Arabidopsis thaliana: one gene and its partners. The protein of the gene in region 1 interacts with the protein of each later gene in a pairwise test. Each region holds a gene or a part of one and is shown in the gene's direction. Other genes may lie near its edges.

What was found.
Region 2: the proteins of LHY (region 1) and AT5G64170 interact in a protein complementation assay, tested with the Arabidopsis thaliana proteins (one study listed by BioGRID).
Region 3: the proteins of LHY (region 1) and AT2G37000 interact in a two-hybrid assay, tested with the Arabidopsis thaliana proteins (one study listed by BioGRID).
Region 4: the proteins of LHY (region 1) and FHY3 interact in a two-hybrid assay, tested with the Arabidopsis thaliana proteins (one study listed by BioGRID).

Annotation. Positions count from the first base shown.
Region 1 is NC_003070.9:32,862-39,441, reverse strand, and holds LHY (Homeodomain-like superfamily protein), read left to right. Parts: upstream 1-1,684; 5' UTR 1,685-1,873; exon of another isoform or gene 1,874-2,043; 5' UTR 2,044-2,069; exon of another isoform or gene 2,070-2,238; 5' UTR 2,239-2,380; coding exon 2,381-2,419; intron 2,420-2,520; coding exon 2,521-2,632; intron 2,633-2,756; coding exon 2,757-2,818; intron 2,819-3,270; coding exon of another isoform or gene 3,271-3,352; intron 3,353-3,442; coding exon of another isoform or gene 3,443-3,478; coding exon 3,479-3,712; intron 3,713-3,794; coding exon 3,795-3,875; intron 3,876-3,967; coding exon 3,968-5,041; intron 5,042-5,114; coding exon 5,115-5,450; 3' UTR 5,451-5,461; exon of another isoform or gene 5,462-5,780; intron 5,781-5,852; 3' UTR 5,853-6,063; downstream 6,064-6,580. Other genes in the region: UMAMIT28 (nodulin MtN21 /EamA-like transporter family protein), read left to right, coding at 1-33, 155-306, 388-544. UniProt on the Arabidopsis thaliana protein: Transcription factor involved in the circadian clock. Binds to the promoter region of APRR1/TOC1 and TCP21/CHE to repress their transcription. Represses both CCA1 and itself.
Region 2 is NC_003076.8:25,671,935-25,678,796, reverse strand, and holds AT5G64170 (dentin sialophosphoprotein-like protein), read left to right. Parts: upstream 1-1,973; 5' UTR 1,974-2,245; intron 2,246-2,756; 5' UTR 2,757-2,862; coding exon 2,863-2,886; intron 2,887-3,225; coding exon 3,226-3,758; intron 3,759-3,872; coding exon 3,873-4,182; intron 4,183-4,448; coding exon 4,449-5,060; intron 5,061-5,220; coding exon 5,221-5,354; intron 5,355-5,574; coding exon 5,575-5,710; intron 5,711-5,791; coding exon 5,792-5,893; 3' UTR 5,894-5,986; exon of another isoform or gene 5,987-6,078; 3' UTR 6,079-6,331; downstream 6,332-6,862. Other genes in the region: AT5G64180 (tropomyosin), read right to left, coding at 593-735, 859-1,015, 1,458-1,634; AT5G64160 (plant/protein), read right to left, coding at 6,479-6,692, 6,779-6,862. UniProt on the Arabidopsis thaliana protein: Transcriptional coactivator necessary for expression of the clock genes PRR5 and TOC1. Antagonizes REV8 function in the regulation of anthocyanin accumulation. Involved in red light input to the clock. Activates clock-controlled genes with afternoon peak.
Region 3 is NC_003071.7:15,538,621-15,541,789, forward strand, and holds AT2G37000 (TCP family transcription factor), read left to right. Parts: upstream 1-1,625; 5' UTR 1,626-1,769; coding exon 1,770-2,336; 3' UTR 2,337-2,628; downstream 2,629-3,169. Other genes in the region: SIGF (RNApolymerase sigma-subunit F), read right to left, coding at 1-68, 149-404, 499-684, 777-874, 981-1,135, 1,309-1,396; NAP12 (non-intrinsic ABC protein 12), read left to right, coding at 3,100-3,169.
Region 4 is NC_003074.8:7,821,483-7,828,176, reverse strand, and holds FHY3 (far-red elongated hypocotyls 3), read left to right. Parts: upstream 1-1,980; 5' UTR 1,981-2,397; intron 2,398-2,721; 5' UTR 2,722-2,762; coding exon 2,763-4,916; intron 4,917-5,020; coding exon 5,021-5,077; intron 5,078-5,161; coding exon 5,162-5,230; intron 5,231-5,304; coding exon 5,305-5,373; intron 5,374-5,469; coding exon 5,470-5,538; intron 5,539-5,631; coding exon 5,632-5,676; intron 5,677-5,761; coding exon 5,762-5,818; 3' UTR 5,819-6,180; downstream 6,181-6,694. Other genes in the region: AT3G22180 (DHHC-type zinc finger family protein), read right to left, coding at 184-564, 712-825, 943-987.

The DNA of each region.
Region 1 (6,580 bases):
GATAGATTCGTTATCACCGTCATCATATACGCTGTAAGTTACAAACATCATATCTTTATAAATTAACTTTTTAAAAATTATAAGATTAGTATGTAAGAACTTAAGATATTAATGTGGGTTTTTTTATGTGGTTTTTTTTTATCATATATTATAGGGAGTGGTAGGACAAGCAATGACGACGGTTGCAACAACATGGGGGATTAAAAAATTAGGAGCTGTGTTCGCATCGGCGTTTTTCCCACTTACTCTCATTTCGGCTACTCTATTTGATTTCCTCATTTTACACACTCCTTTATACCTTGGAAGGTATCTTCTTCGATAATCTCTATCAAATTAATTTTGTCTAGGCATAACACTAATTACAACATTAAAACTTTTGGTCTACAGTGTGATTGGATCACTAGTGACCATAACGGGTCTCTACATGTTCTTGTGGGGGAAGAACAAAGAAACGGAATCATCAACTGCATTGTCTTCAGGAATGGATAACGAAGCTCAATATACTACTCCTAATAAGGATAACGACTCTAAGTCGCCCGTTTAATTTAATTATATTGTTGTTAATGTATGTTTCAAATAACTGTTATGTCCTAGTTAATGTTTAAGGAGAGGTAATGAGAGATAAAATTTTATAATTCCAAACATCAACGTAGAGATTTGTGAAATATTTAAATCCGGTTTGTTTGGTTATTTTGGAATAATTTCGGTTATTTCAATTAGATTCGGGTAGTTCAGTTCTTCGGTTAGTAACAAAAACTGGTCTATTGTTTTTTGGTTAACCTAGAACCGAACCGAACTAACCAAAGTTCTCGGTAACCTTTTGTAGTGGCTTCCTGACCGATGAGGCCGTCAACTTCAAAAAATATTGCAACTAAGCTCTGCTCCAACATTAGAGTATCTATAACTATGTTAAACGCTTCTGCTTTAAGCAAAACACAGTTGTAAGCTGGAATCTAAAAAAATGAGTGTAATGATGTTTGCTGAATTCCATAAATAAATACTACATGCTTCGGTTAAGACTTAAGAGTAATTAATGTTCCTTAATTTCTACAAATGTTATATAAGCAAGTTGACCAAAGTTCTCGATGATAATTTGTTGAAATTTTGTATAGGCATTGCATGATATTATATGAAAAGATGAAGATTTTTATACAGACGCAAGTTCCCCGAGCAGTCCAAGCTTGTCGGGTTTAATTCAACTATGTTAATACGCAAATTTATATAGAATAGGCGTAAAAGTGAGGCCCATACAATGTCTTATTACAAGCCCAGATCCAGCATAGCCAATACGTAGCAGTACACCATCACAGCTGGCACCGTACCCACTTGTTTAGTCGTCCAAGTTTGTACCAATAATCGTTTACACGTAAGCAATTGTGGACCACCACACTCACTTTTACCTACGTGAGCTTCACATTGAAGCTTCTGGCTCGTAGAGAAGCAACTTGAGATATACCAAAAAGTGCAGTAGACAGCCACTACAATATCACCACGTGTCGATCTGCGATGACTTCTGTTTTTTCCATTTATACCCTTGGTGCTGTTCCAGCCTCAAATAAACTTTTCAATTAAAATTTTTCCAAAAATTAGGGGAAAAATTGTTGTGGCTGAGATTGCTTCTGGCTTCTCTTCTTCTTCTTCCAGTCTTCTTCAGCCTAAAACAGTCTTCCTTCTTCTTCTTCTTCTTCTTCTTCTTCTTCTTCTTCAGTTATCTTCTTCCTTCTTCTCTCTGTTTTTTAAATTTATTTTTAGAGATTTTTTTTTGTTTTGCTTCCGATTTGATTATTTCCGGGAACGATGACTTCTCCGGGGAGTTCCCGGTGAGATGATAAGTCAGATTGCATACTTGTCTCCTCCATGGCTACTCTCAAGGGTATAACAGTTTACATTATGAGCAGTTTCTAGGATTCCTATAACATACTAAGATCTCTGTTTGGCTGCTGAGAAACTTATAGAAGCGATTAACTAAATCTTATTAGCTCTAAAAGTTAGCATAAATGATACGAATCTGGTGATTGATTACTGATATGAAGATTTGTGAAGGTTTTGGCTGCGGTGGATTCGTTTGGGTGAGGCTTTTGTGAATAATAATAAAGGGAATTCTTTTGAGTTCTGCTGGAGAAGCAGCGACTGTTTCACGGTGGACTTTGAAAAGATTTCTCTTTTGAATTTCGCTCATCACTCTTATCTTAGTGTTTGTGGATAAATATTTCTCATAAAGTACTTTCTCCTTTGCAGTTTCTCTAGAATCTAAAGAGGTTATCACAACGGCTTTGCAATTTGAAAACTTTCATGTTTGGGGAGATCAAAGATGGTTTCTTTTTTATACTTTACTTGTTAGAGAGGATTTGAAGCAGCGAATAGCTGCACCGGTCCTGTTATGGATACTAATACATCTGGAGAAGAATTATTAGCTAAGGTACTACTACTAATGAAATAAGATTGGTGTTTTTTTGTTTGAGAGATTTGGACTGTTGTTGTGTGAAGATTTGATTTTCTTTTGGGTTTTCAAATGTTTAGGCAAGAAAGCCATATACAATAACAAAGCAGCGAGAGCGATGGACTGAGGATGAGCATGAGAGGTTTCTAGAAGCCTTGAGGCTTTATGGAAGAGCTTGGCAACGAATTGAAGGTCGAAAGTTTATCTTTTGAATGTTTAGTTTGAACTCTTTGAGATTTTATATTCCTTTGTTTAGGAGTGTCTTTATCTCCTCTTGATTGGGAGATTCCTTCTTTTCTTTTCATTTTGTGTGCAGAACATATTGGGACAAAGACTGCTGTTCAGATCAGAAGTCATGCACAAAAGTTCTTCACAAAGGTAAGTTGATGATCCTTTCAGATCTTTTTAAAACACTTTCGTTATCTTGTGTAAAGGTACCATTTTTTCATATCGATCTATGACTATGTTTAGAAGTTGCCTGTCACTGTCTGGAAAAGATGATAGAAGGTTCTTCTTATTCTTCCTTTTCTCTAATTGCTTCAACTAGAAATTAGGCGTCTAAGTAGAGTGTGTTTTGCTAAGTAGAGTTGGTTGGTTCCGAGGATTGCATCTCGATCGTTTTTTATCTTTTTCATTTACTCTGTTCAACTAAACTTAACATTAGATTGGTCTGTCCAAACTTACTGTTAGAAAAAACTCTACAGAGAGCTTTCTTCTCTGAGACCATAAGATAGGTCCAAATTAACATAACTAGCGTTGCATTTGGATGACACAATTGTCCCATATTCACTAAAGTCGATGAAATAATGGGATTGCATGAATTCTTTTAGCCATCCATATGGAAACCAAACCTCCTTGCCCTATAGGACAGGACATGAAGTAACTCTATCATCTCTACCCCGAAAAATTCGGGTCAGTATAAGACTTTTTTCAACCTTGGTGATGTGGTCAATTTCATGAATCTCAGGATTTCACATCTGAGCTGCATTTTTCCATCTCCAGTTTGGAAAAGCTCACAGTTTTTGGTTCACATTTCAGTTGGAGAAAGAGGCTGAAGTTAAAGGCATCCCTGTTTGCCAAGCTTTGGACATAGAAATTCCGCCTCCTCGTCCTAAACGAAAACCCAATACTCCTTATCCTCGAAAGCCTGGGAACAACGGTACATCTTCCTCTCAAGTATCATCAGCAAAAGATGCAAAACTTGTTTCATCGGCCTCTTCTTCACAGTTGAATCAGGCGTTCTTGGATTTGGAAAAAATGCCGTTCTCTGAGGTTTATTCCTGATCTTTCTCTTCTTCATTTTATCATTTTGGTGGTCTTGTGATAGACTTCTTATGTTTTATTTTCTGGTTAGAAAACATCAACTGGAAAAGAAAATCAAGATGAGAATTGCTCGGGTGTTTCTACTGTGAACAAGTATCCCTTACCAACGAAAGTAAGTCTAAGAAAGCTACAAAATTGTAGTCGAAGAATCTGATGAATGCTTTCAAGTGCATGACAAATTATTTGTTCCATTCTGATTTTTAGCAGGTAAGTGGCGACATTGAAACAAGTAAGACCTCAACTGTGGACAACGCGGTTCAAGATGTTCCCAAGAAGAACAAAGACAAAGATGGTAACGATGGTACTACTGTGCACAGCATGCAAAACTACCCTTGGCATTTCCACGCAGATATTGTGAACGGGAATATAGCAAAATGCCCTCAAAATCATCCCTCAGGTATGGTATCTCAAGACTTCATGTTTCATCCTATGAGAGAAGAAACTCACGGGCACGCAAATCTTCAAGCTACAACAGCATCTGCTACTACTACAGCTTCTCATCAAGCGTTTCCAGCTTGTCATTCACAGGATGATTACCGTTCGTTTCTCCAGATATCATCTACTTTCTCCAATCTTATTATGTCAACTCTCCTACAGAATCCTGCAGCTCATGCTGCAGCTACATTCGCTGCTTCGGTCTGGCCTTATGCGAGTGTCGGGAATTCTGGTGATTCATCAACCCCAATGAGCTCTTCTCCTCCAAGTATAACTGCCATTGCCGCTGCTACAGTAGCTGCTGCAACTGCTTGGTGGGCTTCTCATGGACTTCTTCCTGTATGCGCTCCAGCTCCAATAACATGTGTTCCATTCTCAACTGTTGCAGTTCCAACTCCAGCAATGACTGAAATGGATACCGTTGAAAATACTCAACCGTTTGAGAAACAAAACACAGCTCTGCAAGATCAAAACTTGGCTTCGAAATCTCCAGCTTCATCATCTGATGATTCAGATGAGACTGGAGTAACCAAGCTAAATGCCGACTCAAAAACCAATGATGATAAAATTGAGGAGGTTGTTGTTACTGCCGCTGTGCATGACTCAAACACTGCCCAGAAGAAAAATCTTGTGGACCGCTCATCCTGTGGCTCAAATACACCTTCAGGGAGTGACGCAGAAACTGATGCATTAGATAAAATGGAGAAAGATAAAGAGGATGTGAAGGAGACAGATGAGAATCAGCCAGATGTTATTGAGTTAAATAACCGTAAGATTAAAATGAGAGACAACAACAGCAACAACAATGCAACTACTGATTCGTGGAAGGAAGTCTCCGAAGAGGTAAAACAAAAACCAATGATTCATGGATATTGCAGAGTTCTTCTGGGAACTAACACTATCAAAATATTTTCAGGGTCGTATAGCGTTTCAGGCTCTCTTTGCAAGAGAAAGATTGCCTCAAAGCTTTTCGCCTCCTCAAGTGGCAGAGAATGTGAATAGAAAACAAAGTGACACGTCAATGCCATTGGCTCCTAATTTCAAAAGCCAGGATTCTTGTGCTGCAGACCAAGAAGGAGTAGTAATGATCGGTGTTGGAACATGCAAGAGTCTTAAAACGAGACAGACAGGATTTAAGCCATACAAGAGATGTTCAATGGAAGTGAAAGAGAGCCAAGTTGGGAACATAAACAATCAAAGTGATGAAAAAGTCTGCAAAAGGCTTCGATTGGAAGGAGAAGCTTCTACATGACAGACTTGGAGGTAAAAAAAAAACATCCACATTTTTATCAATATCTTTAAATCTAGTGTTAGTAGTTTGCTTCTCCAATCTTTATGAAAGAGACTTTTAATTTTCCTTCCGAACATTTCTTTGGTCATGTCAGGTTCTGTACCATATTACCCCATGTCTTGTCTCTTGTCTCTGTTTGTGTATGCTACTTGTGGTCTATATGTCATCTGCTACTACTGTTAATTAACCATTAAGCAATGGATTTGTCTTTATTCTTCTTTTTAAAAATTGTGGATATTGATTGATGAGATCATAAATAGTTTATAATGATAAAAGATGAACTGTACAAAAGTTACAACTTAGAAAGTTTTGTCTTTTGGTGTTTCTTCATAATGATTCTCTCTGTTTGTTTCAAACTTGAAGGCGCTCGTTGCCCAACGCCAAATGCCCAAAGGTGCTAGGCTGGGCCTTAAAGATTTTACTCACACTACTTGGGCCTACATTACAACATTTTCCCTATTACAAGCTTAAGTAATAGAGGCCTAAAGAAGGCTTATATTGTGTAGCTAGTTTATACAATATTTCAATCTCTTAATTTGGTTTACTGATGAATGAGTAGATATACAATTTTTTTGTTCTCACTGAATGAGCCATATCCTTGCTACCAAACCAAATTATTTGTGAAAAATGTAATGCAAGTATCCTACATAGATTATAGGAGTGACCGCAAAAACACAAACTATGTTTCGTAATAAAAAATAAAGTATTTTTAAAAAGATGTAAATCTTTGTAAATAATTGAGTGGTAGTGTAGTGAGTGTTACGATAATATAAAAGTTTGATCCGTATATCTCGGTGGTGACTCATATATACATTTTACAATCACTTGCTAGACCAACGGGCTTCACTTGTTTCTCTCCCAAAGTTTCTTCATCATCCTTGCGATAAAGAAAACAACAATCGGCTGTTTCGTTTCGATCCAAAGGTACGTTTTTTTTTCTTTTGTCATCGTTCTAAGATCATCAAAGTTTGATGCTTTTCCATGTTTAATCTTCTGGGTATTTTGTTGCTTCAAATCTCAATCATCCATCGAGTCTATAGAGAAAAAGTGAACAGATTTGGTATACATCTTTTCAGTAATCGATACGTTAA
Region 2 (6,862 bases), on another chromosome or scaffold:
AGCCTTAAAAATAAAAATTATATGCTTGTATATACTATAACAAAGCAAACAAAAATAAAGCAATCAGAAATAGTCAAAACTTCCTTCATTGGTATTTTATCAAAATTAGATATTGTACACTAGTTTCTACCAAAAAATTAGATAATATAGAGAGACACCCCACACGCTAAAAACCATGAAGCATCACTTTTTTGAAAAAAGTTTTTTCTAAATTGGTCATAATCCTCTTTTGTTTCTTTTATTCTCTTTTTGTGAAATTGCATCTTCAGCTGTCAAATTTACGTAGTTTCTTGCTCCACACGGCTGGAGTCCTGGAGATGCCGCGTTACTGAATCTGGATGGCATCGCAGCACTATCGGCGGCAAACGTGTGAAAACCACACACACACACCTATAAAACCCATTTTTAGTATCGATCGATTCACATTAGGCCCATTTATAGGGTCAGGCCCATGTAACATTCATTTCTTGAAAGAACAGGCAAGATTCTAAAACGTACCAAATAGACAGACAAAAATACATTTATCTTCGAAGTGATACATCTCCACAAACTCAGGAGTACAAACCTTTACAAGTGAAAAAACGCATCATCATCATCCATTCACGTCGCTTTTTCCCAACCGCTCTTTGCCGCCGAGCGTTTGGATTATAGCTTCTAAGAGTTTGATCTCGTTATCGCGTTTGGATATCTGTTCTTGCATTCCTCGAAGCTCTTCCATATGCAGCTTGAAAACCTCTGAAACCAAGAGTTGTATAAGTCAGTGAGTGAGAGTGAATATGAAACTGGAACGCAGATAAACGTGCGGGAGAGAATGGTGCCACCAGGCATCAACTCAAGAAGTGATTATCAAGTGCATACTTGTGGTGTTTTCAAGCTCTTTTGTGACATCTTGGGCACGTGATTCAGCAGCCTTTTGAGAGGACTCAGCTTGGCGTTTCTCAGACCGAGCATGAGCAGCAGCTGTAATGGCAGCATCTAGTTCTCTTTCTAGTGTTTGTACTCTTTGCTCAAGAACCTAAAACAAACCATTGAACAGAGTTAAGAGACAATCTGAAACTATCCCTTATCTCAAACATGTAACACAGTCCTTTTTTACTTACAACATGAAGAATTTCTACTTAATACACATAATTGCACTTGGGAGTTTTCATAGTGAAACCTCAAGTCCAGTCTTCAAGGATTTGGTGATCATTTGTACCATTAACAGATCACAAAATCGAAGATTCAAAATTTATGATCAACTACAAGTTCCCAAATTCACCGTCAAATGCAATTCCAGAATCACACTATTACACTGAGCTATAGTAGTACTAAAGCAAACTAAAAAGTGCGATCGTGATCAACTAGATCGAATCCACAAATCACAGAAGCAATCATCAAAGTCAAAGAAAAGAAGCTCAAAATTCAGACAATTAAGCTCTATAATTTCAAATTTTATCACAGGAAAAAGGATTAACCTTGATTGTTCGGGCTTGCTCGGAGACGAGAGAAGCTCTAGAGAAAGTGTCTTCTTCAACGAAGACTGCTTTCTTGAGGAGAAGTTTCTGAAGCGAATCGAGATTCGATGCCATCTCCGTTATATTCTCCAATGATCCTTTCCATCTCTCATCGCTCCCGCCGAATTGCTCCTCCATCGGAAAAAGATCAAAGGATCTCTCCCGGCGCCGGCAAATAAAAAAACTACTCGACTCGCAGATCGATCGGAAAAACAACTAAAGATTCTTTGGGCTTTCTTCGGCCCATATAACTATTGTTTTTTTTAACCGCATGGTAATTTGTTATACGTAAATAAAGGCTGATGTCATCATTACGATGTAAGCCAATAAGAAGATGAGGCGTGCCCAGTTTCGAGAAGGTACTAATGACGTGTACCAATAATAAAACTGGAACTGATAGGATCTCACACTGCTCTCTCGTCCACGAATTCTGATATTAAAAACCCAAGCCTGTTAAACCTTTTGATTTAGTTGCCACGTGTTGATATCATGGTCACTTGTCTTTTGATTCTCCCGAAACAAAAACAATAGTTTAATTAAAATTTAAAATGTTTGTCAAAAAAAAAAAAATAGGAAGCCTTCATCGTCTTCTGCCGAACATCTCTAGAAAGTCCTACACAGTTTTTTTTTTCGATCTAGCTTCGATGAATTGATACAATCTCTTCTATCTGCTGAGTTTTTTGTTTTCTGGTAAACAATTTTATCTGTGGAGTTTTCTGGAGTTGCTAGTGGAAGAATCTGTCTCACAGGTGAGCTTATTTCGTTCGGCTTTGATGGAATCTATTTCGATTGAATTTAATTAGAAAATTTGGTTCTTATCCTCAGTGTTTCCATAGCAGCGGTAGCTGAGGATTTCTCAGATTTGATTGTTTTTTTTTTTGTTGCAGTTAGTTTCATTGAATGCCTCATTTCACTGGATTTTAGTTGTTTTTGTAAACTCTCGGTTTAATAATGATAGTTTAACTCGATTTTGCTAGAAATTACGAGCATAAAATGGTTGAATCCTACTATCTGATTTTTCTCCTACTTTGTTTTTGTGCTACTTGCTATGAGATTTGACTTTTTGGCTGTAGAATTTGAGTCTAATTTCTGGAATTCATGAATAGTTGAAAGAATGGGTTAACTCTTAGGGTTTGGATTACATGTATTTCGGGTTTCATGGGATTTGATTCTGGATAAGAAAAGTCAAGTTTTCTTATATGCTGGGTTCGATTTCTCTATTATTGGAAGCTGTTTAATATATTTATATTTCCTATCCAGAACCAGAAATAGTGTTTGTGGGAGTTACATGTTTTGCAATAGAGATGACATATCGGGGTAATGTGCATGATTTTAGTGGTGATTAAAGAGTCTGAAGTTGGGAGGAATGTCGGACTTGTACATTCATGAGGTGAGTGGAGTCACAATCATATATGTGTGTGTATCTTTTTTCTATGAGACTATGGATTTAGATCTTTCGTTGTTGCTCTTGTCGTATGTTCCCGGAAAATGAACTGTTGTGAAATTTCCTTTTTTTATTGGGTTCAAAATCGTTTAAAATATAGGACAGTTCTTGCATCTCATATTTTACTTCTTGTTATCGCTACCACTTGGATGTGTTCTGTGCAGGATTGGGGATACTTTGTTAGTCTACTCGGTTTGATGTTTCCCTAGTCATTTTTTTCTTTGACTTGGTAATGTGGATTTCTAATTGGTGGCTGAAGTTTTCTTTCCTTTCTTTTCCTTTCAGCTAGGCGATTATCTTTCGGATGAATTTCATGGGAACGATGATGGTATAGTGCCAGACTCAGCGTATGAGGATGGAGGTCAGTTTCCAATTCTAGTTAGTAACAGGAAGAAACGAAGAAATGATGATATGGGTAGTGGAACAAACCATCTAAAGAGTAATACTTTTATCAAGAGAGAGGCAAACATGTTAGGAAAAAATCCATGGCCTGAGAAAGATAGTGGTGGCTCTTCGGTTTCTCGTGATACGGGAACAGGAAAAGATGTTCAGGATATGACATTGGAGGATACAAATACTTCAGATCATGGTTTCAATGGTGGCCACGTAGATGTGGTTGAAAATTTCTCCACTGGGGATCCCATGTTGTGTGACACTTCCGCTGCAACGAATGATGGCGTATATAATTATTCCCTCAACAGCATTCCGGATGCTGAAAATGATCTTAGCTTTTTCGACAATGGAGATAAAGAAAAAAATGATCTCTTCTATGGCTGGGGTGACATAGGAAATTTTGAGGATGTGGACAACATGCTTAGGTAACATTTTAGATATTCTCTTTTCTATATATTCTTATCACATTGGGGATCATTGCTTATGGGAGAAACATGGTAACATTTGTCTGAGCCTACACTCGTTTATTGGACGCACAGGAGTTGTGATTCAACATTCGGCTTGGATAGTCTTAATAATGAAGGTGACTTAGGGTGGTTCTCTTCTGCCCAGCCAAATGAGGAGACAGCAGGCGCGATGACAGATGATCTCAAACCAGACAAAATGTTGGAAAATCAAAGAACCGCTATGTTGCAGGTTGAAGACTTTTTGAACAACAGTGAGCCCAACCATGCTGTTGAAGATGAGTATGGATATACTATTGAGGACGATTCAGCTCAAGGAAAATCATCACAAAATGTATTCGATACAAGTTTGCAAAAGAAGGATATATTGATGCTGGATGTAGAGGTTAGTCAATTTCTTATTTCAGAATTGTTTGCGCCTTCCAAGGCACATGCAACCATTAACTACATGGGATGTTACCTTCTATGATGACTTATTTAGTTGCACGTTTTCCTCAGTTAAATCCTCTAACTATGATATGACGCTTTTTACAATGGTGGTTTATGGTTTCGTTAAGGGCAAGTGGATATTCTATTAGATAAGTATTTGTACTGTTGAAATCTTGACACTATTCCAGCAATTTCATATCAGTACAAATTTTTGTTATACAGGCAAATCTTGAGAAGAAGCAGACTGATCATCTTCATCATCTGGATGGGAAAAGTGATGGGTTCTCGGAGAACAGTTTTACTTTACAGCACAGTGGTATTTCAAGGGAAATAATGGATACCAACCAGTATTACCCTCCCTCCGCATTCCAACAGCGAGATGTGCCATACTCGCATTTCAATTGTGAGCAGCCTTCCGTTCAAGTATCAGCATGTGAAAGTAAATCTGGTATTAAATCTGAGAACAAACCCAGTCCTTCCTCTGCTTCAAATGAGTCATACACATCAAATCATGCACAATCAATCGAGAGCTTACAAGGTCCAACTGTTGATGATCGGTTTAGGAAGGTCTTTGAAACGAGAGCCAACTTGCTGCCTGGGCAAGATATGCCTCCTTCTTTTGCTGCAAATACCAAGAAGAGTAGTAAGACAGACTCCATGGTGTTTCCTGATGCTGCTCCTATCCAGAAGATTGGGCTTGAGAATGACCACAGAAAAGCTGCAACTGAATTGGAAACATCAAATATGCAGGGAAGTTCTTGTGTTAGCTCTGTTGTGGATGACATTTCACTGGAAGCAACAAGTTTTCGCCAGCTTCAACAAGTTATAGAACAGGTACAACTTGTCAATAGATAATTGTTGATATAAGGAAAAGGCTTCCTGGGAATCGGTAAAAGTTTGCTGTTCCTTTGTGATTGATATCAAAGTGTATATATGTTAATAAATTTACATATACATTTGCTTACTTGGTTGATAATACACTTGCTTGCTCCAGTTGGATGTTAGGACAAAGCTTTGCATAAGAGACAGCTTATACCGATTAGCAAAAAGTGCGGAACAGAGACATCATGGTGGAAACAGACCGGAGAAAGGCGCAGGCTCGCATCTCGTGACTGGTGAAGCAGACAAGTAAGCACCACATCCTACATAATTATTCAATATGTTCACCCTTTATCACCTGTTGCTAAGTAAAGTTCTTGATGCCAACTTATAACTTTATATAGGATTAGACTCGAGTCTTGACAGATTTAGTAACTCTCTTCTTTAGAAACTTCCACTTGGGCTCTTGTACTCGTCCTTCATTTCTCTTAGATTCTAATCTTTGATATCTGTATGTGGTCTCATCCAGGTATGCTGGATTCATGGATATCGAAACTGATACAAACCCGATAGATCGATCGATAGCTCATTTGCTGTTTCACAGGCCCTCAGACTCATCTCTTTCATCCGATAACAATGTTCTGTCTTATAAATCTCATCCAATGGTAAGTTAAACCTTCGATTCTTACACCGCCATTTAATGTGCAAAACACAGTGCCTCATTTTACCCATCACTATCTACACAGATTCCTCAGCCCAATAGTAGTCCGAGCCTGAGGATAGAGAAACAAGAGGAAACTACAGAACTTAGACCCGAAGCAGAAGTTGTAACAAGTGACAACAATTAATGATGTCAAATAAAACTGGCTCTTTCATTGCTGAAGCATTCGAGATATTGTTGTTAACACTAATCTCGATTTTGGCTAAGCGAAATTGCTCAGGTTAGTTACTAAAATCCTGACTGCTTCTTCATTAGAATCATGGATTTTGTAACACAGTTGTATTTATGTGTTGAGATAACTTTCTGGTCTAGATTTCGGTTCGAACCTGATTGTACACCTGGTTGCTCGAACCTGATTGTACACCTGGTTGCTCGAACCAGGTCTTTAAGATATGTTCTTTACCTTTGTAATCTGTTCAAGTTGTTAAGTAGAGGAAGAAGTAGAGACATAGCAATTCTGTAGATAAAGATGTTAGTTCGTTTTGTAATGCGATAAAATATTCTGCTGTGTATTTACTCTCTTTTTTTCAAAATAGCGAATTTTAGGGTTTTATTTTCCAATAAATATTTGATGATCTCATAAATATATATATTTCAATAATGATGAAATTAGACATTCCGAAGCAAATTATAAGATTAACCTTTGTGTCACAAGCTACGTTACAGAAATTGGATTTGGATGGTACAAATGTAGTAAAAGGTAAAAGAAACACTAATCGAAAGTTTGCCTAAGCTGCATCTCGGTTTCACTTTTCCAAGAAGCGTGAGAAGATTGTCCTCTCATTCTTTTGCTCTTCTCTTTATCTTTGATCGTAGAGCCTTTCTTCTTCGCGTCTACGTCCGGTAATGGCCGGTCACCACAAATCGGGCATACCATTCCTCTTGCGCTTGTATATGTTTTCGGTACACCGCATTGCACACACATCCTAAACTCATCATAGAAATCCTAATCAAGCTCACATTGTGCAAATTTATACTAAAGAATGAAGAAGAGGGCAAGGGTTATTCATACCTCAAGAGATCTGCAGATTCTTCTGCATTAGGATTGGTTGCAGTAGATATCCGCTTTTCACCACTCTCTGAAGATGGGGGTGCA
Region 3 (3,169 bases), on another chromosome or scaffold:
CCTATTGTTGGTTCGCAGCCGTTTTGAGATTCAAGTTTAGTCTTTACCTTCTCCAACTTTAATAAATGCTGATAGATCAAAGATTATGGAAGTTAGCACCAGGGACAAGAAGGAAGTCCAAGGACACATGAATAAGGAAAGCATGAACCTGTATATGTGATATCAGCTCAGCTTCTTCTTTAGCAGTCAGAAGTTGTTTTGTCTCAGGTCCCCACAAGAAGAGCTGAAGCGCATCATCATTATCAGCCCCTTGTTTATACTTTTTCTTCGCACTAGTTTTCTGAGGAACATAACCCTCATCGTCCACATCGTTTGATTTTGGAGCCCGTCTGTTCTTTGCTCGTCTCTCTAGCTGCCGCTTCGATCTTACTATGTTTCCCTTTTCCGGTAAGGACATAGAAGAGCTAAAACCAAACATCCAGAAATACAAATCTTTTCACATTACAGCCCACAAGTAGCAGATTGATAAGATACACAAACAAGGTTAAAAAAAGCAACCTAGTGGAGAGAGAATCCTTGATGTTGTCAGATGGATTTGCTTCAGTGTCATCAACTAACAATGCAGCTTGTTTTGAAGCTGATAAAGCCTTCTGAGCTAGTGCAACCACATCACAAAGCTCTGCATCAGCTAAAGGAGACACAACTGCCGGCAATTTCGTTTCAGATGTTAAAGGAGATATTAATCTGCAAACAAAAGAAAGGCTACATCATTCAGAAAACTCAAAAGGTTGTATGAAAACTGAAACTGGTGGGTTTAAGAGAGGAAGAGACATTACAAATTCCATAAACCAGTAGAGTGAAGAAGTTGCTGTTCAAATTTCTCATCTTCTCGAGATGAAACCAATTCATCAAACTGCCTCCTCTCCAGAGTCAACTAAAAATGCAAGGAACCCAATCGCATTAAACAAGAGGACTAGAAAGTTGACAACTTTATGATTGATTCAATCTCTTAGGACAATATTGCTGCTAATAAAACACACCTGGGATGTTCTATCGTCTCTTAACGCATGTGACAGAGGCCTAGACTCTTCCCGTGGCTCCTGTGAGAGAACCGACGCAGGAAAATGTCGAGATAGAGAATTGAGATGACGTGAGTTAACAACAGGAGTTGTTGTTTGATCATGAAGCATCACTACTACAGAAATACCAACAAACGAACAAAAACAAATCAGAAAATGCTAACACAAACTCGTATACATACACTAATTTCAAATTGAAATCCATGAACTTCAAATTCCAGTAACTAACAGAGACAAATCCAGCAAAGACACAATATTTCTATATGAAGAGTAGCTGAATAAGAAGTACCAGAGGAAGGAGAAGAGTAGCTGCTCTTGAGATGAGTCTTTGTCTGAAACGAAGGAGATGAAGAAACCAAGTTCCTCGTAGCTTCCATTTCACAGAATCACCAAAGAATAAAAGACTCTGTTTTTGCTTCCACGAATGGCTAAGGAAGAAGAAGAATAAGAACATGAGGCTACTCTACAGAGCCATGACGAACAGATAAGGCGACACACACACTCCCAATTTTTTTTTTGTAAAAATTAAAACTTGTTTGTTGCCATGGAAGTCAGATTTTGTTCTCTCTCCCTTTTTTTTTTTCCTACAGAGTGGATCATGTTGGGCCTTATATTGGGCTTAAAAGCCCAAATTATCCAAAAGTTAATTCGAATCATCTTCTTCTCCCTCCTTTAGTAACCCTAAGATTCTCTCTGTGAATCCTTGTTCATCGTCACTGAAATTAGTTTACAAAATCGACGAATTCGGAGATGATTTTTCAGAATGTGTGCAGAAATGAGTCCAACTTCAACGCTATAGCTTCCGAATCGCGTTCCCAAACGCAGTTCGGTGTTTCGAAATCCTCCTCGAGCGGCGGCGGATGTATCTCCGCCAGGACTAAAGACCGTCACACGAAGGTTAACGGACGAAGCCGTCGAGTTACGATGCCGGCTCTCGCCGCCGCTAGGATTTTCCAGTTAACGCGTGAGCTCGGTCACAAAACTGAAGGAGAAACCATCGAATGGCTTCTTAGTCAAGCTGAACCGTCGATTATTGCCGCCACTGGCTACGGGACTAAGCTCATTTCGAATTGGGTTGATGTTGCGGCGGACGATTCCTCGTCGTCGTCGTCGATGACGTCGCCGCAAACGCAAACGCAAACGCCACAATCGCCGAGTTGTAGGTTGGATCTTTGTCAGCCAATCGGAATTCAGTATCCGGTGAATGGTTACAGTCATATGCCGTTCACAGCGATGCTTTTAGAGCCGATGACCACGACGGCGGAATCTGAGGTTGAGATCGCGGAGGAGGAGGAACGTAGACGCCGTCACCATTAGTAAAATTAGGCTTTTGATTTAGAGTGTTAAAATTAGGATTTTAAAAGTTTAGGAGGTAACAGATAAGGATAATTTAGTCAAATCATGTTGTTTAGTTTGGTAATGTTATTTTGCCACTAAACAACTAATAATATTGTTTGATAATCTTATTATTTGGTTTTGGAAACAAATTGATTAAAAAATAATGCCATATGTTTATAATGTTTATATTGTTTTTCTCACTATTGATTTGTGATTTTTTAGTAATGCTTGAAATCATTAAGCAACACTATTTAAATAAACAAAAATTTCTCATGAAATCCAAAGAATCATCATTTGTCATGCTCCTCCAATATAGTTATTTCTATTTTTGGAAATAAGTTATAATTAAGAAACCAATCATTTTTCTCACCCATTTTTTTTTTCATTTGCTAGAAATCTGGACCTCCTTCCATGATGACCCTTCTCAACTCTCTTCTTTCACGCAAGTCTCTCATTTTTCAACTTTCCAACTTTTGATCTCAACGTCAACATTTCAAGATTTTCTAAAAGAGAACAAAAAAAATCTACAACAAGCTCGTTAGCTTTCTTTTAATCCTTCATCTCCATTTTTCAAGAATATACTCATTGGTTTTCTCAAGACATGATAGAAAAACACAAGACATCTCTACGGATATTTCTATTGGTAGCTTCCAATGTATCTATTCTATTGTTAGGTCAGAGGGTTCAGATATTTCGATTCGGAAGGTTCTGATTTTAAGGCAAGACTTTTGATATAAGAACAATGAGAGTTAGGGTTGATGTTTGTTGGACACAACACATCTTCTTGTTCTTTGTTTTTGGCTTGAGTTTTA
Region 4 (6,694 bases), on another chromosome or scaffold:
ACATCTAAAATCTGAACCAAATTGCTTTCCCTAAAGACTTCTTAAAGCAGATTCTAGAAGATAAAGACCAAGAAATTTTAGTTATTATTAACTGCTCATACATCATTTACTTTTCATATTAAAGACCATACACATGACAAATATAACCATGGAGACTTGATGTAGAATTCTGAAGCTTAGTACCTCACAATTGCACAATGTGCAAAACAGAGCCTCTTCGCTGTTTCCTTGTTCTTCCGCCGGCCCTTCCTTTTTCCGGCAGTCTTCCACAACAAACACATAACAGAAAACTGCCAGAGGATTATAGCAAGATCTTCTACTTACAGATTCCACTCTTTGAGCATCTTCTACAGAACCTTTCACACTAGAGTTTCCAGCCACGGTAGAACTCCTACTGACAACCGAAGGAGAAGCCTGCAACTGACTACCAGTTTCATCATAATTCCTTGATAAGCCACGAACCATGCCATCTCCATTCACGCCTGTATCAAATATCGACATGATTCTCGGATCCGCAGGATTGATTGCAGTACACCGAACATACAAAACAAACACAAGAATAGCCTGCAAAAACACACACGATACATAAAGGAACCTATCAGATAAGATCAATGCCATAAACTACACAGCTGTGGAATCCAAAACTCGTTATGAATTTGCAAAATTGATTCTGATCATAAACACTACTAGCTTGAGAAGCATTAAACATACCACGGGAGAGTAAACACCGATCAAAACGTATTCCCAAATACGACCTCCAACAAAAGGAGCGAAGAAAGCATAGAAAGCGACCACCAACAAGCAAAACACCGTAATTGCAATCACCTGAGAAGAAAAATACACAGAACCCAATTGAAATCACAGCCATTGGTGACTTTAGATTGAGCAGATTCATGAAAAATTGAAGCTTTGGCTATAGAGAAAGGTTACATTCGATTTTACCTGAAGAGTGTGAGCGGGAAGTTGCCAACCGTGTTTCCTCACCATACCTTCTTCTCCAACAACAATAAGCAAAGATAAACAAACTCTAATTTTCCGACAACGTCACCGTCACGTTGCCGTTCGCCACCGCCGGAGCGATTAAGTGAAGAGTGTTGTTGCTCGTTGAAAAGGGAAAGGGACTGAGAAAATATCGTCTCTCTCTGTTACTGTGGCAGGTTTAGTCTTAATTAAGTCCAAATGGTTGACCCAACTTTTACATTAGTGGATAATTAATTATAAATAATTTTGGTATTATAAATAATTTTGGCATAATTATAATTAAATTTCAGGATATTGGCTGGCTTTTTGTCAAAAAATATATGCTGTATTAAATTAAATCATGTCGGAAATAGTAAATTACCAACTGGCTATTGGCTATTGATTATGATATTTTATGAAATTTATTTTGAATTCATAAAATATTTCCAAAAATGGTATTTATTTTATTGTAGCTAATATGTAAAAAAAAGTTAGGAAATAATTTTTTTTTTACCAAACTTTTTAACATTAGTGGGACTAATTATAACTATGGTTTTTAAGACTGAGCTAATCTATATGTACAAAATTAAAAAGAACAGTGACTCATGCTAATGAGTGGCTATTGATTTATTTATTTTTTTGGACGGCTATTGATCTTTTTATTTTGGATCAAATATAATAAATTAATCCAATTCTGAAATAGTCATACCAATTGGCTCTTGGCTATTGAAAGTTGGTAAAAGCATTTACTAATATATATATATATATATAGTCCAAATTCAAAACTGATAGTTTGTAAATAACAAAAAAATATTTTGAATAGTTTACTATGATTTTTTTTTGTAATTCACCGTAATGTTTCAGTTTTCACCATAGTAAATACTTAGAAATACAAAATAAAATAATTCAAACAAGTCTTAGTCTTAGAGTGGACCAAACAAATTTTAAAAGCCTAAACAAGTCTACTCTTATAGATGTAAGTAAATCTCATCATTCCCATTATTCACGCTTCCCTCCAATTTTTGTTTTGGCATGCGCGTTGCACAAAATTTCAAACAAAAACAGTTTTTTTTTTTCTTTCTAATTTTATTTTATTAATAACATAAATAAATGGATAGAGATATTATTATTATCAAAAAACATGGTGATGCGTTTAGACAGAGAGAAGAAGAAGAAGAAACCCTAGACACCAAAAGAACGAATCGTGGATCTTCCGCCCACTCGCTTCCTCAGATCGCGTGAACACCACTCACCAATTTTTCTTCTCTTTCTCTCTTCTTCTTCTCTATCTCCTTTTCGCAGATCGATACCCCAACTCGCACCCGATTGGCGCGTGTTGTCTTCTTCTTCTTCCTCCTCTCGACGACGAAGAGATTAAAAAGAGACGGCCTTTTCTCAGTTTCTGCTCCGATTCGTATATCTTCTGTTTCGTACGAGGTAAAGTTTTCATTTTTATTTTTTGTTTTTGTTTTATAGTGATAACCAACACAAATGATTGGGTTATACAGTAGTTTTGATCAGCTTCGTTTTAGGAATTGGATTTGAGGATTTCGTTTATGTGATGAAATACCCACTAAGAATTTAGCTGCAAGTTGCTTTTTTCTGCAATTGTAAGGGCAAAATGTGTATACTTTCTCGATTTATCATCATAGAAAGATTGAATTTTGATGGGTTTCTCTGGTTTGTTACATCTTTTGTGTGTGACTTTAGTATACATTTTGACCTAGATATATGTACTGAGACCTAGATTTTGTCTTGCAGTGTTGTAAGACGTTTGTTTTGCCTGAGACTATAGGTTTGTCATGGATATAGATCTTCGACTACATTCAGGTGACCTTTGCAAAGGAGATGATGAGGATAGAGGACTTGATAATGTGTTACACAATGAAGAAGATATGGATATTGGCAAAATTGAGGATGTTTCTGTTGAGGTTAATACTGATGACAGTGTAGGCATGGGTGTTCCAACTGGGGAGTTGGTTGAGTACACTGAGGGTATGAATCTTGAACCTCTTAATGGTATGGAGTTTGAGTCACACGGTGAAGCGTATTCGTTTTACCAGGAGTATTCTCGAGCTATGGGGTTTAACACTGCGATACAGAACAGTCGTAGATCGAAAACTACAAGAGAGTTTATTGATGCGAAGTTTGCTTGCTCTAGGTATGGTACTAAAAGAGAATATGACAAATCTTTTAATCGGCCACGAGCTAGACAAAGTAAGCAAGATCCAGAGAATATGGCTGGTAGGAGAACATGTGCGAAAACCGATTGCAAAGCTAGTATGCATGTTAAGAGAAGGCCGGATGGGAAATGGGTAATTCACAGCTTTGTGAGGGAGCATAATCATGAGCTTTTACCTGCACAAGCTGTGAGTGAACAGACCAGAAAGATATATGCTGCAATGGCTAAGCAGTTTGCTGAGTACAAAACTGTTATAAGTCTAAAAAGCGATTCGAAAAGTTCTTTTGAAAAAGGTCGGACTTTATCAGTGGAAACAGGGGATTTCAAAATCCTGCTTGACTTCTTGTCACGGATGCAATCCTTGAATTCCAACTTCTTTTATGCAGTAGATCTGGGCGATGATCAGCGAGTGAAGAATGTATTTTGGGTAGATGCAAAGAGCAGGCATAACTATGGCAGTTTTTGTGATGTTGTTTCTCTAGACACCACCTACGTAAGAAACAAGTACAAGATGCCACTTGCTATTTTTGTTGGAGTGAACCAGCACTACCAGTATATGGTCCTTGGGTGCGCCTTAATATCCGATGAGAGTGCAGCAACATATTCTTGGTTAATGGAGACCTGGCTGAGAGCAATCGGTGGACAAGCTCCAAAGGTTTTGATCACTGAGCTAGACGTTGTAATGAACTCCATTGTTCCCGAAATCTTCCCCAATACACGGCATTGCCTTTTTCTTTGGCATGTATTGATGAAGGTTTCTGAGAATCTTGGTCAAGTTGTTAAGCAACATGATAATTTTATGCCTAAGTTTGAGAAGTGCATCTATAAATCAGGGAAAGATGAAGACTTTGCGAGAAAATGGTATAAGAATCTTGCTAGATTCGGCCTCAAAGATGATCAATGGATGATTTCTTTATATGAAGACCGCAAGAAATGGGCACCAACCTACATGACTGATGTTCTTTTGGCTGGGATGTCTACATCTCAACGAGCTGATAGTATTAATGCTTTCTTCGACAAGTATATGCATAAGAAGACTAGTGTACAAGAATTTGTAAAGGTATATGATACAGTTTTGCAAGATAGATGTGAAGAAGAAGCCAAAGCTGATTCTGAAATGTGGAACAAGCAGCCAGCAATGAAGTCTCCATCGCCATTTGAGAAGAGTGTTTCTGAAGTCTATACTCCTGCAGTTTTCAAAAAGTTCCAGATTGAAGTTTTGGGTGCGATTGCGTGTAGTCCTAGGGAGGAGAACCGAGATGCCACATGTTCTACTTTTAGAGTGCAGGATTTTGAAAACAACCAAGACTTCATGGTAACATGGAACCAAACAAAGGCTGAAGTCTCTTGCATCTGTCGGTTATTTGAGTATAAAGGGTATCTCTGCAGACACACTCTTAATGTTCTTCAGTGTTGTCATCTTTCTTCCATCCCCTCGCAGTACATATTGAAGCGGTGGACAAAAGATGCAAAAAGCCGGCATTTTTCAGGAGAACCTCAGCAGTTGCAGACTAGGCTGCTGCGGTATAACGATTTGTGCGAACGAGCATTAAAGCTGAATGAAGAGGCATCCCTCTCTCAAGAGAGTTACAATATTGCATTCCTTGCTATTGAAGGAGCTATAGGAAACTGTGCTGGTATTAATACTTCCGGCAGAAGTCTTCCAGATGTTGTAACGTCACCAACTCAAGGTCTGATTTCTGTGGAGGAGGACAACCATAGCAGAAGTGCAGGCAAAACCAGCAAGAAAAAGAATCCAACTAAGAAAAGAAAAGTAACTTACTTGTTTACGATCTCTCTGTGCAGACAGCTTATGGATTTTGTTCGCTTTGCGCTTTTATGCTTTGCAAATTTGATGATACCAAATACTAATTTCAGGTGAACCCAGAGCAGGATGTTATGCCAGTTGCAGCGCCAGAAAGCTTGCAACAGATGGTCTGTCTTTGTTGACATGTCGTGGCAAGCCTCTTTTAAACACAAGTCGCCTAAGTATGTCATATCTGAATTTTGTAATTGCAGGATAAGCTGAGCCCAAGGACGGTTGGCATTGAAAGCTATTATGGAACACAGCAGAGCGTACAAGGAATGGTAATTAAGCACAACATACGTTCATATTATTATCTAGATACGTATGTAATCTGTTTTGATATGTGTTTTTACAGGTCCAGCTGAACTTAATGGGGCCAACTCGCGATAATTTCTATGGGAATCAACAAACAATGCAAGGATTGGTATGAAATCGACCATGACATGTGTATAAGTAGCTTCTGCTGTTTTCTATTTCATTAACTTTGGATAAAAAAACAATTCCGGCTGGTTTTCTGTAGCGACAGTTGAACTCGATAGCACCAAGCTACGACAGTTACTACGGTCCTCAGCAAGGCATCCATGGACAGGTACCTACATACCTATTCTCAATGCTTTCATAAGTTTTGTCAATCTTGTAACAAGACTGCCAAAAAAGTAAAATCTTACTTTGTTCTTTCTAGGGAGTAGATTTCTTCAGGCCTGCCAATTTTTCTTACGACATCCGGGTAACTATTGCAGTTGTAATAAAAGATCTTTCTTTTTCCTGTTTGTATCAATTGGTCATCTTAGTTCATGGTGATTTCTGTGCAGGATGATCCTAATGTGAGGACTACGCAGTTGCATGAGGACGCGTCTAGACACTCGTAAACAAAACTATAAGTTAACCACGAATCAAATCTTAAGAGTCGTCAGTCTGTGGATGAAAGATTCAAATCTCGGAGAACAAAAGCCAACGAGCACTAGGACGCGGTTAGGTTTGGAACAGAACATGAGCCAAAGCTCTGTTTTATCTTCTCAAGTGTTAAAAATAGGATGTTGTATTGTTTCGCCTTTATTCTCAGAGATTCGATTCTGTTAATATTGTTTGTATTAGTTCTGATGATCATATGTTTGATCATTTGACTGTTCGATTTAAGAGGTGAAGAAACAGTGTTACAAGAATATTCTCTATTTGTAAACTCTTGTTAATTCTCTTGATTAGGTTTCTCAAATTTGTATCTTGTGATTAATCTTGCCCAAATTACAAACAAAATTGTGGTATGCTATTGGCGGTTTGAATCTTGTTGAAGAGAGGAGAGAGGGTTACATAGTATAAATATAAAATTCTTTAAAATCAGAGAAGGATCATAAATTTATTATTATTATTTTTGAGTAATCATAAACAATTTTTCTCTTCTTTTGGCAAATAGAGCTTTTAGGCAAATTATTAAAATGTGGCCTAACATTCTATTTTGTATAGAAGAAATTATTTAAATACTGTTATTAAAAAAAACATTAATGAATAAATACGATTTAGTAATTTAATGTAAAAAAACAAACAAAAATTTCTATAAATGTTAAAGAGATGAATTTTGTTTTCAAAATAAAGTCCTAAAACACATTAAAAATGTGATATATGTAGAAAAAAAATGTGGCGTTTTATTTGATTATTTTTTAGTGGCCTAAGGAAAATGCTTTTTTTCTTACATATCAAGCAAGACTCTCTTGCAATTGAGACTCATTTTTCGTTTATTGTTCCAAAAA